Linked DNA regions of Mus musculus: regions 2 and 3 are each reported to be linked to region 1. Evidence: microRNA targets listed by miRTarBase, many of them from high-throughput screens and not tested one by one. Region 1 holds a microRNA gene; each other region holds the end of a gene's coding sequence.

What was found. Region 1 holds the annotated microRNA mmu-miR-3106-5p (UGGCUCAUUUAGAAGCAGCCA, at 3,722-3,742, shown strand). A microRNA usually pairs through its seed, bases 2 to 8, with sites in the 3' UTR of a target mRNA and lowers its output. Matches are read on the target gene's strand: a 7mer-m8 pairs with bases 2 to 8, a 7mer-A1 pairs with bases 2 to 7 and ends in A, and an 8mer does both.
Region 2: the mRNA of Ikbkg is a reported target of mmu-miR-3106-5p. Seed matches in the 3' UTR shown: 7mer-A1 at 5,884-5,890 and 7mer-A1 at 5,954-5,960.
Region 3: miRTarBase lists Ly6g6d as a target of mmu-miR-3106-5p. Seed matches in the 3' UTR shown: 7mer-A1 at 4,821-4,827.

What each region holds. Positions count from the first base shown.
Region 1 is chr8:16,165,733-16,172,546 of GRCm38, reverse strand. It overlaps Mir3106 (microRNA 3106), which reads left to right and starts at 3,709; the gene lies at 3,709-3,790. All of the region lies in intron 23 of Csmd1 (CUB and Sushi multiple domains 1), which reads left to right.
Region 2 is chrX:74,446,765-74,453,578 of GRCm38, forward strand. Ikbkg (inhibitor of kappaB kinase gamma) reads left to right here. Exons shown (of 10, transcript NM_010547.2): 9 at 1,095-1,156; 10 at 1,453-6,814. The coding sequence ends at 1,595. Among named protein-coding and RNA genes, the nearest start is that of Ikbkg, 20 kb to the left of the region's middle.
Region 3 is chr17:35,066,534-35,073,347 of GRCm38, forward strand. It overlaps Ly6g6d (lymphocyte antigen 6 complex, locus G6D), which reads right to left. Exons shown (of 5, transcript NM_001371028.1): 5 at 4,809-5,226. The coding sequence ends at 5,012. Ly6g6c (lymphocyte antigen 6 complex, locus G6C) reads left to right here and starts at 792. Exons shown (of 3, transcript NM_023463.3): 1 at 792-911; 2 at 2,334-2,444; 3 at 2,787-3,515. The coding sequence starts at 857. The coding sequence ends at 3,001. It also overlaps a transcript of Mpig6b not described here.

The DNA.
Region 1 (6,814 bases):
GATTAGCTTCACAAACCTGAGATTTCACGTTCAGCTCCTGTTACATCCTCTAACTCAATTTACCGTGGCCAAAATAAAACCACTTTGTATTTCTAATGAAGATGTCGGTGCTAAAATGTATGTGATGTAAAATAAGCCATGTTTTTGCCTGTCTTAATATGTGCATATGCTGTGAGCATCCTTCCATCAGCACAGCATGGGGCCGATGGGATTCCCTCTTTGGAAACTCAATTTGTAGAGAAATGGGAAACTTGCCAGCTTCTTTTCTAGCCACATGAATTATTATTATTAAACTCATTTTGAAATTTCCATTGCTGCATATTTCTGATTGAATACTATTTTTAAATCCTTCCAACTTCTTGTGGAAATTAAGAAGCATTAAAACTCTCAGGGCACAAGTTTATCTTCTTGGTTTTGAAAGCCCATTTGCTAGTTGCTTTATGTGGACAAGCAATGTAGTTTATATTTCACTAAAGATGGAATTCACTAGATGGTTGTTATTTTAGTTTAGTCTGTGGCAGCTATCAGCTCATTATCTAGATTAAAATGGATATCAATTAAGTATGGTGATGTGAACTTATGGCATGCTTTATACATTAAGGGTCAGGATTGTATAGATTAAAATTAAAGCAATCCTGCCCATGTTTTCAGGTTATATCCTACCTGGAATAACAGACACAATGAAATAAAAGAATAAAAAGCAAGGACAACACTGATGTTTTTTCATTTGTGGCAGGATTCATAAGAAATTTCAGAGTATACTTAGTGCTTGAACCATAGCCAGGGGCAGTGTAACAAGCTTCAAACAGAGTATAATCAGCACAAACTGATTTGGACAATAATAAACCCCTCTCTGTTCCTATAAGACAGACTGCGACAGACAAACAGCTTCTGGGGATTTCTCAGATGACCACATCACTGGAAGTTAAAGGAGGAGACTGTGTTCTTGGCTCCAGTTTATAGGAAGGCCAATAGGAAGGAGGGGAGGATGGGATGGGGGTGTGGCCAAGGAGGACGCACTCGGGAAGCATGAGATTGCGTACTCCAAGAACCTGCAGGAAAACCTGCAATGGCTGACCTCACAGGACAGGAGAGGTGATTTTGATGAATAGATCCGATGCAATGACTTTGTTCCACTGGTGGTAGTTTGCGTGGTGAACTTTATCTCTACTTCATGTTGAGGATCTGCACCGAGCCCATTAGTGCACTATGGAGCTTCAGCTCCTGCACAGGTGGCTGTCCATCCATGACATAAGCAGCAGAGAGAGGGCAGCCTGGCACTCAGGAGTTACAGTCAGACTGACAGCTCGCTGGCATTCAGCCATTCTTCTTTTTTCTTGGATACTTTCTTTATTTACATTTCAAATGTCATCCCATTTCTCAGTTTCCCTCCCTCCCAGAAACACCCTATCACATCCTCTCTCCCCCTGCTTCTATGAGAGGGTTCCTCCAAAAGAACTCCCAGGGACTAAGCCATCAGCCATTCCTTGAAGAGTGAAATGTAAGGGTTGGTTTGGTGCTGCTAAATATCCAAATGCTAAATACTGCCCCCATGAGGAGATGCTCATGTACACCTCATGTACAGGATGTTATATAAACCTTGCCCCCCAAGTTATCACCGACTAGGCCTACAGCCTAGGTTCTGCAGAAGAGAGAGGGACAGGATTCAGGCAGGGACCACGAAGAGAGTGAGAAAGAAGGAAGTCACTGTGCTTGGATTGTGAGTGTATGGCTTACAGTCCTTTTATAGACTGACAAGGAAAACATGCCTTAAAGGGGTGTATCAAAAACATCCTAACCTTTGCTAATAGCTGTACCAGTAACTGCTCTCAGAGGCATATGGGGAGCAGGCATGGGCCAGCTAGGGTGGGGAAACATTTTTTTTAAAGATTTATTTATTTATTTATTTTATGTATTTGAGTACACTGTCCCTGTCTTCTGACATACCAGAAGAGGGCATCAGATCCCATTACAGCCACCCTGTGGTTGCTGGGAATTGAATTCAGGACCTCTGCAAGAGCATCCAGTGCTCTTAACCACTGAGCCATCTCTCCAGACCCAGAGGGTGGGAAAATTTAACATGAGGAGTGCTGGTTACATTGCTCAGTCCAAAGTTGAACAGGTTCCTGGGGCAATGGAAACCTCACAGTCATCTTATGACTCTCAACCAAAGAAGTCTTTAGCATGATGTTGAATGACGAAAAAGAACGCCAGTTCACTGAAGCAAGTAAAGAGAGCTGCAGTCTAACCTCCCGAAGTGCGTCTTACCCAAGCACCGAGACATTTAAGAGCTGCATGGAAGGCCAAGTAGCAGGCTATTTCTCCAGGCTAGTACAGGGAGGCAAATGGGGTTGCACCTCCCCTGCCATAGCTACCTGCCCTCCCCTTTCCCAGGATTAGGTTAAAATTCCTAAGTGAATACGAAGTTTATTTCTTTAGAAGTCCCCCAGTCTCACACTATCTCATGAAACCTGGAGATTGCCAGGCTTTGAACATTTTCCTTGATTGAACCAACCCTAGTCCTAACAATCTGCCTTAGAGTCCTCTGCTCGGATTATGTTGGAGGTAACTGTAATCTGCCTCACATGACACGGACCATGTCTTCTGTCATGGCCAGGCAAGTCCTTGCTAAGAGAGGGTCACATAAAGGACCATGTTCCTAAATAAGTTGCCAGGGTCAGGACCAGCCACCTCCACAAGCTCCTAAGCCAATAGTAGATGAAAAGAATATATTGCCCAGAGTGTATAAAAAGTATTTTTAGAGGTGCCAATTTGGATATTATCATGAAAATTAAATCAATATGAAGGTATGCAGTACTGAGTTTTAGACAATGGGAATTAAAGTTGAATGCTAAAAAAACTATACTTCATATATATAAAATTGAATGTTTCCCTAATTGTCTCTCCAGCATTTGCATTTAAATGATTTCATGTTGAGGCTATTCCTAACTTTAAAAATAATTATGTAATTCAATTTCACAAAAAAATGCTGAAGACTCTTAGAAACATTGTTGAAAGTATATGTTTGAAGGGACTTTTAAATCTTAAAGGCACATCAGAATTTGTGCGTGCTGCATTTTGGCATCGGGGCTGCGTTGATGGGGTCGCCTTTTGTCATTACCTTCCCCTGCAGGTTGGCTCCATTTGTGCTGACATTCCAGGCTTGCAATTCTATGTTCAATCTAGTTTTACTTCCTGTCTCACTTTGTGAAATGAATATTTATTAGAGAGTTATATAAAACTATTTTTATCTTATAAATTTTCGCTCATCTTTGTCCGGGAAGACTTCGCGGTTACACAGACTCTCCTGCCAGCCAAGCAGATGCTTAGAGCCATCTAGGCATTTTAATAAATTGTGGAATTTCAGAGTGGAAAACAAGAATACTACTTTGACATATTAGTCCTAGAAAAACAAATTTGAAAAAAAGAAAAAGAAAAGAAAAGCAGACCCCTGAAGGGGGAAGTTACATTTTAAATTACTAAATCACCTGTGTGTAAACCATCAGATTGTCCTGTATTATATTCTGAACACTGGTATTTCTGCTATGAAATGTGGAATGTTGTTCGCTGAGGTCACAGCTGTCCTTCTCCTGGGAATTCCTGTGTAAAAGTGTTAGCATGAGCATTGTCTGTATGTGCATTTGGGAAACGGAAGGAAGAGCCACGCCCAGGCTCACCTGTGTGGCTTCTCATCAGTACCTTGTCCCCAGGGAAGCACAGGTGGCTCATTTAGAAGCAGCCATACACTCAGAGAGTGGCTGCCTATACATGGGCTTTCCTGTGCTCCTCTCCTGTTGCCACGGACCCTCAAGGAAGGAGCCATGCAACTCGGCATGTGACCTCCTTTGCCGGTAGCCACCAACACAAGAATGCCCTCTGTCTCCTTAGGCACTCGCTGATGGATCTGTGACACCTCTTGTGGGGCTGAGCCCTGGAAGCCATGGCTGGGCCTAGGCAATGAAATAAATGATGTTTTACCCAGTGAAGTTAATATGTGTTCAGTGTGTGTCAAGTGAGCACTCGATGTTCTACTAACATGATGTTCTCCCAAATGATAACTGTTACATGTTGGTTTTCAACCAGTACCAACCACAAGTTCTTAATGAACAAGTATTTATATTTTTTATCTCTTCAGCATCTAATGTTCTTCTTCAATATAAATCAGAAATAGGCAATATACTTTATATGTATTTGAAGCAATATAGTCTCAGTAACCAATGAGTAAAACAAAGATGATATACCTGAATCCTCAGGTAGATAATGAGAGCAATCATGTCTGTGCATTCTGTCTATGTCTGTTTCTCTTCCTCCCTGTCTCTTTAGTTTTAAAACCTGTTACTATAGTCTACCCAACAATAATATAGAAATAACAAATATGTTGGCTTAGAGAGATAACTCCATCTATAAATTGCTCACCATGCAAGCATGAGGACTCGAGTTCAGTTCCCAGAACCCACATTCAAAGCATCCACGGCAATATGTGATTGGGAAGTGTGAGGATGCAAAGACAGGTGGGGGCTCAGGCTCAGTGGGAAGGCAGTCTGGCCCAAATGGTAGGCTATAGGGTGAATGGGAGAACGGGTCTCAAAGAGTAATGTGAAGAGTGATTAAGGAAGACTCCTTACATCTGTGTCTGGCTCCTACATGCACATGAGTCTGTACACACATGAACACGTGTGCTCACAAAACACATGAGAGAAGTTACTATGCTCACAAATACATTTCATCAATAAAAAGAAATTTGAGTGATCCCAGTGAACTATTAGATGTGTTTAGTATCAAAAGTATCATCATCAGTCAGAAATCTTAATTAAAATCGATTTTGAAGCATAATATTGAAATTTCACTTTTATATCAGAGTATTGGGTTTTTCTTTCAAATTTATCATCAAAATTAAATGTGAAAAAAAAAGCTACAATATATGGACATATTAAGCAGAAACAGTAGAAAGCCATTAGCACCATGCCACATAACTAAGTGGCTTCTATGTCATCCTGAAACTTTCAAGGACTCTGGGAATGTCAACATGGATGCTAAAAATATTCTATGCCCCTTCTTGCCACATATGTCCTTCCCTTTATTTAAAAAGATAGAAATGAACAGCTTGCACACATCATTGGGAAAGGCCAGCAAGAACAACCAAGGAAGTTCCAAAGCATGAATGAGCGCATCATGCTTTGGCTGGGATGGCTCAGGTGCATGTCTTAATGTGTTCTTAGACAATCGTCACAATTTGTGCTAATTCATAAGTCTGATTTTCCAATTGGAATCCAAGAGAACACGAAATGTCTTGTTCTGTGTGTGAGTATTCTCTGAAACATGTTTATTAAGATTAGCTCCTAATTATCGTCAATGAAAGGTTTCTTTGCTTTCCTGGTGTCTCAGGAAGCCTTGGTGAGGGCTAATCTCTGAGTGAGGGGTGGGCCCGGGTTCAGTGTCTTGTGCTCAGTGTCTATGCTCTCTTCCTCGGGAGCTGTGCTCTTCCTCCTCCACATTAGCTCGCATCTCATCTGAACCATTGTCCTCTAACCCTACTTTTGATAGCTTTGCAGTGACTCTGCCTTCCTATCTGTTCTCACTCCAATCCATTCCATAGGACCACAAATGAACTCTTAAATGTTGGGTCTGTGCTGTGTGTCCCTCCCTGTATCCCTGTGAGTCTATGGTTATTTGTGTGCCACCCCCAGCATCTCTATGCCAGTATTTCTGAGCCAGGTTCAATAATACATTAGTGTTGGATCAGTGTGTTTTGTATTCCCCAACCTTTCTCCTCCCCTGTCCTACCCATCTGACTCCACTTCTTTGTCAGATAGCTTCAACAGATACAGAGGTCATAGGTAGGCTGCACATCATTCATTCTTCTCTAGGTACCACTGAGAACCATGACTACCATTCTTCTCTGGATACCACAATGTTTTTACTCCATCATGCCCAAGAATTTTCTTTCCAGTACGATTTCACTCTGGTTTGAGGACTAGGTAAGGTAGCTGTACTTCCTTCTAGAACTATCCAAATGGCTTTCTTCCTGCTAGTGCCCAGACATCTCTCTGTGCCTCTGTACCCCTGCCTCTACTCCATCATTTAGCAAAATGCCTTGTCAGTAATTTAGTTCCTTGGCTACAGGGCAGAAGGTAGGATTCCTTTCCTCTATTGCCTGAGCCCAACATTGCCAACGACTCTGGCTTTGGCATCCATGTTGTGGGTAAACCTAGGCAGGCACCCATTGGAGGTTAGTGCTTAGAGCTGCCATCCTGGGTGGATCCAGATACCTACAGGGGCTGCTGCCAAAGGCATCCAGTGATTAGAGAAGCTGCTTAGCAGACTTTTTTTTCTGAGGGTACAAAGCTTACTTTACAGGGACTGGCACTTCTTTGGAACACTGCAAAATTATGCATTTCTTTAACTCCTTGGGGCAGGCAAGAAAGAGAAGGAAAGAGAGAAAATTCACACACACACACACACAGACACACACACACACACACACACTGAATGTATAAAAGGCAGAGTCCAATAGCTTCATACACACAAATATACATGCATGAATACATACATACACATATACATACATGAAAACAGACCTACAGACAGACATACACATATTCACACATAGATTGGTTAGATCAAAGCTCCTTTAAGCAGACTCTAAATATTCCACACATATATACATAAATACACACAACTAACTGGTGGATGGAAGGAACAATGTTTCAACCCCCATTCACACAAACTTTTTATGTACATACATAGTTAATGGATGGGAGGGAAAATGTTCTAGTCACACCACACCACACCTTACCATACCATACCTCACTTT
Region 2 (6,814 bases), not on the chromosome of region 1:
CAGCATTAGTTGTCCTCCCTCGTAAAGCAAAGGTTTTACTTGAGTTCTGCTGATCTCTTGTTCATCGCACCTGATTCTTCAGCCTCAGCTGACTTCAACTGCAGATTCTTAATTCAAAATACCACACAAATGACGCTGATAGAATCTTTGCTTCCCTCTGAAACTTCATTTGCTTTGGTGTCAGCATTCTTATCTTCCTTGGCTCCCACAGAGCAGCCCGTTAAGCTCTAACCACTTGATGGATAGGAACTTGAGATAGGAACTGAAGTCAAAACCTTGGAAGAACGACTTTTTGGCTTGCTTGCTTTTGCAACCTAAGTGATTGCTTGAGGTGTGGCACTGTCTCTAGGGAACTAGGTCTTCTCTTATCAATGAAGAAAATGCCCCAAAGGCTTGCCTATAGGCCAGTCTAATATACTCAGTTGAGTAAATATCAGATGACTTTGATCAGATGAATCCAGCTTTTGTCAAAATGACAAACAACAACAACAAAAACCTAACCAGTGCAAATGTATCTATCTAAAAACTCAAAATATGACTTTATTTGGTTTAGTATCTTTATATATGTAACTAGTTAATATAAGGTCACATTAGGTTAATTAGTTGACTGTGGTACTTACAGAAGCACCAAATTAAGATAATAGAAGGCTGCCACAAGAAGGCTAAGGCAGACTCTGAGATTCAGCTACAAGCCAAGAAATGCCAAACACTTTGTAAACCACTGGCAGCTAGGGGGTGGGCATGGTAATTCTGCCCAGTCCTCTGACACGTTTATTTGGGGCACTTAGTCATCTGTATCATGCACGTTTTTGTTATTCTAAGTTACTAAGTATGTGGTAGTTTGTAACAAGGTTCTGAGGAAACTAATATAGGGGAACCCAAGGAATAATTCCTAATAAGTACAAAGTTTCCTTTGGGGGATGATAAAATATTCTAAAATTAGGCTGATGATTGGATATGCTGAATAGAGTAAAACCCTCTAACAATACGGTTTAAATTGGGGACTTATATAGTACATGAATTATATCTAAATGAATGTATTTATTCATAAAAAACCCTATAAGCATTGATTGAATGCTTTCTGTTTTCAAAAGGATTGAGGATATGAGGAAGCGGCATGTAGAGACTCCCCAGCCTCCTTTACTCCCTGCTCCAGGTAAGTGAACAAGTGGTAGATGATGGGAGGAGATGCTTAGGGAGGGGAAACATGTGTTGGTTTCTCTGCTGCTCTGCTTTGGGGAGTTCTTGCTGACCTCTCCTGTCAGTAGCCCACATCACTCTGAGGTCAAAGGAAAAATGTGCTGGTGGAGGTGGCTCCCAGCAATGTAGTCAAATATGGTGGTATCAGTAAGTCTCAGCACCTTGTTAGCCCCCCTTTCCATTTGAGGCCTACCTAGGCTGTGCATGAAGTACTTACATAGTTCATCACACTCCTGTGTTCTTTTTTCTCAGCTCACCACTCCTTTCATTTGGCCTTGTCCAACCAGCGGAGGAGCCCTCCTGAAGAACCTCCTGACTTCTGTTGTCCGAAGTGCCAGTATCAGGCTCCTGATATGGACACTCTACAGATACATGTCATGGAGTGCATAGAGTAGGAGCAGCAGATGCAAGGCCACTTGCAGTACTATGTCCTGATCTGTGTGACTTGTGCTTTCCTGTTTTACCTGCATAGTCCACACTTAAGGGCTTGCTTTAGCCCTTTGGTCCCCCATTTAGGGTAGACAGCCCCATTCAGGGCTTTTTTTTTTCTGTGTGCCTGATCCAGTTTGCCTCTGGTGGCTTCTTCCCTCTTCTCCCATAGTCCTAGGGAGTCTAGAATGGAGGCCAGGGGCTCTTAGGGAGCATCCCTTCTCCAAGCAGGTCTGGGTACAGCTTTTCTTCTCTCCAACTGGTACCTTTCTTGCCGGTGAACTGCAGGCTCTCCTCCCAGGGCATGTGGCACTTGGGTCTATAACATGTGTTACCTCTGGTAGACATGTGGAAAGTATTCTGTCCTTTTGTTACTGTAATTAATGGTGTAGTGAAAGTACTTGTACACTGATCTGTGTGTACCTTTAGGACAGATGCTTAGATGTGACATTGGATCCTTGCCCTGGAGGAGGTGGGCAGACCTTTGGATTTTTGCCATCTCTAAGATATACCATTCTTTACTAAAGAATTTGCTTAAGTGTCTTTTTCTGGGGCATGTGGGCCCTTTTTAATTCCTCTGATGTAACTTGGATTTTCATAATTCCTACCCATTTTTCTGTTGGGACATTGCCATTTGTTCTTGGGCTTTGTAGAGCTTTTTGATTATCAGTCAGGTTGGTTTTGACTATTACAGAAGTGCACCCCTTGTTCCACATTGATTGTTAGTGTTTTGGGGCCTAGAAGCTGTTTTATACTCCTACTTACCCATTCTTTACTCCTAGTTTTTTGACTTTGGAATTATGACTGCTTTGTCAACAGAAAGGTATTTCACATGTATGCTTTCCTTTTTCTAGCCCCAGTGTGCTCTTGTTTTTGCCAAGCACATTGTTACCTTCTGTGAATGGTGGTGGCCATAGTTCATCACACTCCTGGAGTTTGTGATCACATGTTCTTCACCAGCCAAAATGTCCTAGGGAACCATTTAGCAGTGACTGACTGATCACAGAAAAGGGAACACTTCACTTGTTTTGCAAGGTTCTAGACATTTTGTGGGACCTTACCGTCATTGGTATTAGACCTGCAGTTCTAGTAAAGGAAAGGAAGTTGTAGTTGAGAAAGCAATAAATATGCCTTGCTCATTCCTTAGGTCTAAATCCTTCCTGCCCTCCTGTAAGCTTTCATGGTTCTGAGTGGTATCTGTGAATCCATCCCGGGGGCTTTTATTTACATGGTTTCTTTCCCATTAAGAGTGAGAAGGCTAAGTAGAATTCAGATTATAAAAAAGGATTTAAAAAGTAATCCTGAGCTGGGGGCTTTCTCGGAATTTTCAGGGGATGCAGAGTAAGTTTTCCATTTCCTAATTCCCAGGTATCTATCAGAAAGATCTTTAGGAAAATGTTAAAGGAACAAACAAGTTCTTTGCTTATGTGTTTTCATTTAAATACCTAATCTATAATTTTCCTTTAGGAATACTATTGGTTTAGGTTGAGTCCAGTTTTGTGGTGGTATATATCACTTTTCTATAGCTGCTTTAAAATTTTTCCTAAACTTGGAAGAGCAAGAACAACAACAACAACAACAACAACAACAAATCACTCTTTCCTGTCTGGAAGCCACATATTAAGTTTTTTCTGGAGGCTGTGAGAATCAATTCCAGGCATTCTCTTAACTTTCAGTGGTTTGTGGTAGTCCTTGGTGTTGCTTGGCTCATAGACCCATCACTCCAGTTTCTGGTTCTAGGGCCTTGTGGTTTCTTCCTCTCTTCTGTCTCATAAGGAAACCATGTTGTGCATGTGGGGTCTATTTGATTAGATTAAGGAGGATCTCCAGTTCAAGACCCTTAACTCATTCCACCTACCAAGATCCTTTCCCCAAATAAAGTCTTGTTCTCACATTATGGGGGTTTGGGCTTATATAACCCGGAGTATGGATATCATCAGAACCTGAGTAAATGCAGCCCAAAGGCAGGGCCTTTAAAGCCTTGTAATTCTGCTAGAGAGACCTGGTCTCTAGGGTGATGACCAGTAGTCTTCAGAGTTTGAAGGCAGACCCTTGTCAGTGCTTGATGCTGTTAGTAGGGTCAGTGGGAATGATTGGGAAAGGCAGGTTGGCTATAGTAGGAGAGAGCTGTTGGGCTGCCTGCAGTGGCTGCATGAGCTTCACGCTTCTTGGATAAACAGAGATGCATAGGTGCATTTCTGACCAGTACTTTATCCTGAAAGGGTCCCAGAAAGCAGGTGTGACCCAGGTTACACAGTAGGAAGCTTGAAAACATGGGCTTCATGCACTGGTCAAGACAAATCTGAGGGTGGCACAAGGTAATGGTTGGGACCTAGTACCCTTCTAGAAGGTGGGAGCCCTTGCCACCGACTTACCCTGCAGTATGGTGTATGATTAACCGTACATCAAAGATTTGAGATTCTACCATCTTTTTGACATGAGACATGCTCTTTTCTTTTGCAGAATTACTTAAGCTAGAACTGGAAAAAGTGGTCGTTCCATTCCCCTCAGGAATTAGTCTACTTGCTTTTGCACAAATTTTATGTGGCCTCTGGCAGACAACTTTTAGATCCATACAGCTAGAAGCATGCCCTTTCCAGAAGACCTGTTCTGGAATAGATAGTGCTTCTTATGTATGCTCTCTTCCTGTTGGCCCATGCCCAAGAGAAAACCAGAGAGCCAGTAAGACAGTACAGAGTGCTTCACCTACTGAAGTAATAAACGATAAGGCAGATTGTAGGTAGGAATGATATCTAAAAAGGAACAATTGCAGCCCTGTGTGTGACACCCTCAGGCAAGGTAAGGCCTACCTTTTAGTGTTTCCCCTTTCAAGGTGGGAGTTTGGAGAGATGAACAAGCACTTTGGAAGCATCCCCAGCCCTCTTTACCTGACAACAGTTTGGTCCTCACAGTGACTGCTTCATTGGAGTGCCTCTCCAGTGTTATGGCACCATCATCTGTTACCACCCAAGGCTGTGATGAAATAAGATACAACATATCCGATGACACAGGCCTGCATGGCTAGCATCTTGAACATTTTATTACATGAACATTCTCTGTACGATGGTATAAAAAGGCCCGAGGATTAAATTATGTATAAAATATGAAATAAAGAAGTAAGACTTTCAAGCATGCACTCTGTCCTCCCTTGTTGGATGTAGGGGTAGGATTGCCAGTAACAAAGGTTTTCTTTGCTATTTCTATCTCTTTAATTCCCCTGTATTACATAGGAAGTAGCTGTTACACACAGCTCTGAGGTTTCTTCTGCCTATGGCTGAGGAAAGCTCATTATTGACACAACAGAGTGGTGAAAGGGGCCAAGTCAACTAATTTGGGGCTTGAATTTCCTGTGGTTGCAGCAACAAAGTACCACACGTTAGGGAGCTTAGGCAACAGATTTCCTCTCCCTGTTAAGGATGGCAGGCATCTGAGAAGTGGGTTCCTCATAAGGGATAACCCATTCCAGTGCCCCTCTCCAGTGTGTGGCAGGTCCCAGAAATTCTTAGTTTTCTCTAGTTGTACCTGCATCTCTGCCTCTGCCACTTTTGTCACATGGCCATCTTGTGTTTCCTTTTTATAAGCACACCAGTGTTGTATACAGGTGGGTATTTGGAAACATGGAAGCATTTTGTTCAGTATCTAGTGACAGTGATGGAAAGAGATGATTTGCAGAGAAGGTCAGAGCAGCATGAGGGTCTTAGGTATGGAGCTGCAGCCAACATTATGGACATGGAAGAGAGGGATTGCTGGACTTTTGGTTTCCTGCCTGGGTACCTGGACAATCTATCTACCATTGGGAGGACTAGGTAACAGTGGAAGTTAGTTATGAGAGAAGTTGTTTGATGTTCAATTCTGATCTAGCCAGGCTCAGTGTGAGATGTCCTGGGTCCCTTCATCTTGCCTTGACTGTTAGGTGCAGTTTCATATTGAAACTGCAGGCTCTTTTTTATCCATTGCTACTGGCAACCAGTGTGATCTGGTAAATCTGTTTCCACTTTGCTTAGTGCTCTCCACTGATTTTCTGTTACTTGAGACCTAAACTCCATCTTCAGCCTTGTGTTGATCTAATGTCATGTCAACTTCTCTAAAAGCTCAGCCAATTCTACACTGGCCTTCTATTCCTTTCCTCAAACCACTTAGCACTTTTTTTTTTTAAATTTTTTTAGATTTATTTATTTATTTATTATATGTAAGTACACTGTAGTTGTCTTCAGACACTCCAGAAAAGGAGTCAGATCTTGTTACGGATGGTTGTGAGCCACCATGTGGTTGCTGGGATTTGAACTCCAGACCTTTGGAAGAGCAGTAGGGTGCTCTTACCCACTGAGCCATCTCACCAGCCCAGCACTTCTGTTTCTTAAGGCTGTTGCTCCTGTTGTCTCCTTTGCTGAGAAAGTTCTGTTCCCTAATTTGTACTGTTGACTACTTTTTGTCATCCATATAAGTGTAAACAAAAGTTCTTTCATCTGATCTCTTCATCCTAAATCATACTACCCTGTTTTAACTCACATTACTACCACTGACCTTTTCTAGTGTTTTTTTCTTTTCTACCACTAGAGGGAGACAGAAGCCGTATCAATTTAGTCGTATACTCAACACAGGGAAACTGCATTTACTGATGGCTGAGCTTGTCTGAGACGATATCAGGATTCCCCTGCCAATATCTTCATGGACGTCACTTGTCACCATAATTGGTGACTTATAGAAGTTATTAATGTACTAGAAATTATAGTACAGAAATCTTATTTTAGGACTATAGTACCAATAGCCTTTTTTTGTGGTGCTGGGGATAGAACCCAGGGTCTTTCACATGTAAGCATTCATACCATCACTGAGCTACAATCCCTGGTTATCAGCTTCTCACTTTATTTACCTTCCCCTGACTTTGACAGCCCTGTCTAGTTTGGAACTTATTATGTAATCCACGATGGCCTTGAATTTACAGCCATCCTCAGCCTCTCCAGTGCTAGGATTATAAATATATCTGACTAGCTTATTTTTTTCATTTTGTTCAGGTTTTTAATGAGTGTCTTGGTTTCAGATATGAAAAACAGAATTTGGAAGAAAGCCAGTTGGGCCAGTCTGTGGTAGAGCATGCACTCAAAGTTGAAGCAAGATGTTAATGAGTTCTAGGCTGGCTTAGGCTTCATAGCAAGATCCTATCTCATAAAACAAAAAGTTAACT
Region 3 (6,814 bases), not on the chromosome of region 1:
CAGGAAAATGGAGCTAAAAGCATGTGAGAACCAAATCAATACATTGAGAGAGTCTAAAGCAATAGATGACATATGGGAGTACTCAGTGTATGACATGGTCATTATTATCTCTATCTTAGTTCCTATCTCACCTCTGTGTGCCCATGATGTTCCTCCCTACCCAATGGGCTCCTCCCTACCCAATGGGCTCCTCCCTACCCAAGGGACTCCTCCCAAACCCAAGTCCAAGTGGGGTGAGGGCTTCCTTGGCATGTTATACAGCCTCAGCCCCGCCTCTCTGACATCACAGAAACCCTCCATGATGCCATAAGCCCTTCTTTATCTTGTGGCTGAGCATCAGTTGGAAGACTGGCTGGGGAATGGATCTACATTAATTCACCTGTTTCGTCAATTTCTGCTGGAATGTCTGATCAATGTCCTCCCATCCCTAGGCACCCAAAGTTGCTGAAACAACTCAGTTACTGTCTGTTTCCTGGGAACTAGCAGAAACTAGTGTTGTGGCTGTCTAAGTCACAGAGGCTTTTCTGATGCTCTCTCCAGGGCAGGGGGCCCTCAGCTGGGGGTCCTGAATCCAAGATCCAAAATGGAGTTGCCCACTAGTGACACTTTCCCCCTCCTATCTCCCTCTCCTGTCTCCCCTTCCTACCCAGGCCCTCTTGGACCCTTTCCACCTCTAGTCTTTCTCTTTAGTCAGCTGGGAATAAATTGGGAGGGAGGTGCCCACAGAGGGCACAGGCCCGGAAGGGAGGAGCCATTGGGATTATAAATTCTGAAAAGACCGCTCAACTCTCAGAGCTGGAGACCTGGGAATCTGCTGTCAACTGCTGGGGCTGTGGACATTCTCAGGACCCTCACCATGAAACACCTCCTGTTGCTCACCCTGTCTGCCCTACTCTACTGCTGGGTCTCAGGTGAGTGCTGAGGGGCCCCAGGCCCCATCCCAATCCAATACTTCATATTTCCCTCTACTCAGGATCCCAAGAAGTCCCAACCCTACATGGCTTAGTCTCGCCAATGCCTCCAGGATCAGATATCTCTGAGCATGATGGGCTCTAGTTTTCTTACTCCTCTCCTTCTTTTCCTTCCTCCTTCCATTTCTTGTATTCTTTTTTGGGGGGGGGTGGGTCAGAGTCTCCTGCTTTGAACTCCTGATCCTCCTGCCTCTACCTTCTAATGCTGGGATTACACATGTGTATCACACCTAGGCTCTTTGGTCCATTATCAAGGACCCAGGTCTCCATTGTCATTTTCTCCTAGCCCTGTATTGGCCTAGCCTACTCTTCTTACCTGGCATTATGGCACTAGGTCTCTATACACCTTTCCTGCACTCTATAACACCCAGATGTCTGTCTAGCCAGTTCCAAATGCACTTCTCCAAGATTAGCATACCTGCCTTCACTCACCTACTGCCCTGAGCTGAGGGTCCTCATAGAAAGGATTCCATGCCACTCCTCTCAGAGCCTCAGCGATGGCCCTTCCTGGCTCGTTCCCTGCTCCTTCCTGAGTTACACACCTATATCCCTACCGGGGATGCAAAGCCTTCTGGGTGGACCCAGCGACTGCTACAGCCTTCCCAAGAATCAGAAACTTTCCCTGAGCCTTCTACAGAGAAGATGCTGCAGCACTTACCCTAAAGTGAGATGCGTTTCCGGGAGGCTCTCTAGGCTCCTCTACCCCTGGGCTGACCATTCCTGCGCCGCACTTTGTGTGCTTACATCTGGAGTTAGCCAACCCGGGAATCCTGGCGTGTCATCCGCTGCACCCACCCTCTCCATTTCTGTTAGATGCCAGTGATACGTCTACCAGGTGTTAGTTTTCCTTTTTTCCATAGAGCAAACGCCAGAAGAGTAGAGATGATTCATTCAGTAATCTCCCCAATCTGTTGGCAGAGGTCCAGTCCACTTCTAAAGCTAGTCACCGGTGACTTTCTTGCAGCCGTGGTTTCATGCCATCTCTGAAGGCTCTGTGGACTCCTTTAACTTCTTTCTCCCTATTTCAAGTCTCACCCTGGACCCCAACCTCTGCTCCATCCCTCTTTCCACACATCTCAGCCATCCTCAGCTCCGGGTTTTTGTTAGTACAATTCTTGACTCATCTCAGGCAGGCTTGGGTGGAGGAAGGTATTTAGGTTTCCACATAGAACAAACACCTCCGCCCAGTGCCCACACCACTTTGCACTTTCGCCGGATTGCTCACCTGTTCTGTCTCTGAACAGAGCAGGTGTGAGGCACTGACTGCGCAATGCGGCAGTTCTCCATCCTAACCCCTAACTCAACTCATCCTCGGGTGACTCAGATGTCCCATTACCTCAACCCAACTTGTTGCCTCCCCAGCTGATACTCGATGTCACTCCTGCTACAAAGTCCCTGTGCTGGGCTGTGTGGATCGCCAGTCCTGCCGCCTGGAGCCGGGCCACAAATGCCTGACAACAAACGTGTACCTTGGTAACACCCCCTCTTCTCTGGGAAGGGAAGGCCGGGTGGGAGATGATCTCTTTGTCTGAAGCCCATCCAGGGATAGTTCAGAGAGTTACAACAGTGATGTCGGATGGCCAAAGATGATTATGTGCCAGGCGCTGACCTGTGTCTCTACTGTGTTAGTGGATGCTTGTGTTGACCCCAGGAATTGGTCTTAGGAGAAGGGGCATGGCTCATGCTCGGGAAGGATGATGAGACTTTGAGGAGAGAAGGGAGAAACCAAGCAGTTTGGGGAAGGGAGAGTAGCCAATGGACACAGGCAAGCCAGTGCCCACTGCTGATCCTTTCTCCATTGGCTCCTGCCTCTAGGGAAGATGTGGGTTTTCTCTAACCTGCGCTGCGGCACACCAGAAGAGCCTTGTCGGGAGGTCTTCAACGAAACCAACCATAAGCTGGGCCTGAACTACAACACCACCTGCTGTGACAAGGATAACTGTAACAGCCCGGCTCCACGGCCCACACCCGCACTGGCCCTCATCTCCCTCACCTCCTTGGCTGGCCTCGGCCTCTGGTTATTGCATTGAGACTAGCTCCATGGCTACAATCTTACCACCTGCTATAGCCTGAGCCTTTCTCCCTGTGTCCTCAGAGCTCCAGCTTTCCAGAATCTTCTCTCCTCCCACCCCCTTCTTCTGAAGATCATGTCCCTAGTCCTATACCATTTATTTCATGGGACTGTACCTGGAGTGGCCTTTCTAGCCACCGCTCCTCTCCCTCACTTGTCACCTTCCACTCCATTCCACCCACACACAGACACACAGACACACAGACACAAAGACACACACACACACACACACACACACACACACCCAGTCCTTTCCCATTTCCTTCTAGAACACTCTACCTCCTCCACTGGCCACTGAAAGGCTCCCCTCCTTGGACGCACACTGCTGTGCCTCTGGGATCTAAGTCTGGAAGAACTCCTGTCTTGTCTCCAGGGAGTGATTCCAAAAGGCGCTGGCCTCATTGCATGGGCCTGGCTTACCAGACCCTCTGCTTGTCCCCTTCTATCTTGAGAAATAAACATCAGTGTCTAATAAGCGTTGTGTTTATTGTTAGAAGATATAAGTGCTAATCTGGGTACGGTGGCTTTCCTCTGTAATCTCAACAACTGGGGGGCAGAGGCAGTAATAGTTCAAGACCATCCTTGACTCCATAGCAAATTCAAGGTCAGCATGAACCACAATAAGATCCTGTCTCAGAAAGAAAGAGGCTGGTATGGCCAGGCAGCGCAAGTCTTTAATCCCAGCACCTGGGGAGGCAAAGGCAGACAGATCTCTGAGTTCTAGGCCATCCTGGTCTACAGAGAGAGTTTCAGGACAGCCAAGCTATATAGAGAAACTTTGTTTCAACAAAACAAAACAAAACAAAACAAAACAAAACAAAACAAAACAAAACAAAAGAAACAAGAAAAGAAAAGGAAAGAAAGAAAGAGAAGGGAGGAAGAATGGAAGGAAAGAAGGAAGAGGTGGGCATGGCTCTATGCCCTTTTAATCCTAGCACTTGGGAGACAGATAGGTGGTAGGGGAGGAGGATGGGGAGGGGAGGAGCAGGAGGTGGGGGAGGGACTCTCTCCATGGAAATCTCACTCCCTGCACCTCACCCTTATGCTTGCCTAAGAGGCCTCCTGGGGGGGGGGAGTTTCACTGACCAAATGGAAGAGCAGGTTTTGCAAGCCTTTCTCCCTTCCCACACCTGAGGGTGGCACACTGGCACCAGTGTTTGGAGAAACAGCCCTTATCCTAAATTTAGACGACACCCGCCAAGAAGCAGGTGCAGCCTAGCTAGAGGGTGCCCCAGAAAGGAAATGTGTGTACAGACAGAGCTGGCTCTTGTCTCCACCTCTGAGGTGCCTTTCTAACTGGGTTATTCAAGCAACTTTCCTTTCTCAGTTCGAAATACTCCTTCCTATTGAGAGCCAAGTTATGAAATACAGAAGGGAAACCATGGACTCTGGATAACCCTCCACCCAGCCTTCCCTCCAGGGACCCTCACTGTGAAGGAGTCTGCCTAGCAGCAGGTCCCGGGAGCCACTGAGGACAGAGTCACCATTGTTTTGAGGAGTGTCGTTGGATCAGGTCCACTGATGGACTGTTGTTAACTGAACTAGAAGCCAGATAAGTGCGTTATCCCTTCAGTCTTCTCAACAGAAGGCACTCAGAAGCTAGGAGCAATGACACATGCCTTTTGGAGCTGGAGACAGAGGCAGGTGGATCTTTGAGTTCAAGGCCAGCCTGGTCTACAGAGTGACTTCCAGGATGGCCAGGGCTACCTAGAGAAAACTTGTCTCAAAAAAAAAAAAAAAAAAAAAAAAAAAAACCCAAACGAACATTTCGGTAGTGGTGGCTCACACCTTTAATCCCAGCACCTTGCCTCAAAGAATGAAAAACAAATATTTTTACAGTCCTCTCTAGAATAGTTCATCAATTTTAACGGCACACAAGGGAGTGTTTGTCTTCTTACCTTAGATGTCCAGCTCCCTCACTCCCTTGGTCCTTCAGTCCTTACCCTGCCCTCGGTCCCACCCTCCAGCTCTACAGTCCTGGCAAGAGCCAGGCCAGGGTGGTAACAGCTGCAGCCAAGATGCACAAGGGGGTCACGGAGCTTGCCACGGCGCTGTTGCACAGATCTCCAAAACAGCAGTTTTTCTGGGTTGTGAAAGTCACGTCTCCCACTGACTCTATGGCCACTTGATTGCAATGATGCGTGGCCACGCAGGCTGGGTAGTGATGGCTCAAGGTCGCGGAGGCTGGGAGAAAGAAGGCACTGGGGTGTTAAACTCCTGACTGCAGGACTTGCCTTCCCTGAGAGAGAGCAGTTACAAAGTCTAGGGGCTCAGAAAGGATACTCTGTCCTCTCAAAACAAACAAACAAAACCCACCTCTCTGAAACCAAGGGACCAGGGCCAACAGGCGGACCTAAACAGGGATGCTAGGATGTTCCAGGAGCCCTGGACCATTCATGTCTCAGCCTCAACACGGGGAAATCACAGCTAAATACAAAAGGGACAGTTTGTAAGATAGCCCAGCACTGTTACCTAAATGAAACCAAAGATGGGCATACTGGTGCATGCCAGTAACAGCTATTCAGGAGGCTGTAACAGCAATCATCAGGATTGCCAGGAGTTCAAGGTCAGTCTGACCAACCCATTGAGTTAAAGGCGACCCTGGGCTATAAAACGACACCCTGTCTCAATGCAACAGTGGATAGAGCTGGGAGTGAAACTCACTTAGTAAAATGCTTGCCTAGTGTGCACAAGTCCTGGATTCAACCCACACCACCAAAACACACCAAAATAAACAGGACATGGGGAGCTAGAGAGATGGCTCAGTGGTTAAGAGCATTGACTGCTCTTCCAGAGGTCATGGGTTCAATTCCCAGTCACCATATGGTGGCTCACAACCATCTGCAATGGGGACCCGAAGCCCTCTTCTGGTGTGTTTGAAGACAGCCACAGTGTTCACATACATGAAATAAATAAATAAAACCGGGCTGGAGAGATGGCTCAGTGGTTAAGAGCTCCAACTACTCTTCAGAAGGTCGTGAGTTCAAATCCCAGCAACCACATGATGGCTCACATTATTAATGAGATCTGACGCTCTATTCTGGGGTGTCTGAAGACAGCTACAGTGTACTTACATTAAATAAACAAACAAACAGGACGTGGTAACACACGCCATGGGAGAAAAGGAGAATCCCAAGGTTTAGGTCATCCTTGGATTTCTAGCAAGTTGGAGGTCAGCCTGGGAGATGTGAGATGTGAGACCATGTCTTAAAAATAAGTAAACAATATAGAGCTGAAGAGAAGCTCAGTGGTTAAGAGTGCTTGCTGCTCTTCCAGGGACCTGAGTTCTCACAGCAGGTTCACCCGTCTAACTCAAGCTCCAGAGGATCTGATACACTCATGCATGTAGCATACACTCAGACAGACATACACTCAGACATACACTCAGACATACATACGTACATACTCATATGTAAAAATAAATCTTTCAAAAATAATAGTAAATTGGGGCTGGGGAGACAGCTCAGTGGTACAGAGCACCCAATGCTCTCCCAGAGGACGTGGTTCAGCTCCCAGCATCCTTAATCGCCCATAATTCCAGTTCTGAGGGCTTTGATCCTCTCTCCTGACCTCCACAGGCAGCAGGTAGGCCTGTGGTACACAAATCTACACACAGGAGAATGTTCATGCACATAAAATAAATTTTAAAATGTAATAAGATTATTTTAAGCATGGTGGCTCATATCTGCCTTTAATCTTAGCATTCAGAAAGTAGAAGTGAGCAGATCTTTGTGAGTTCAAGTCCAGCCTGGTCTATGTAGTGAGTTCCAGG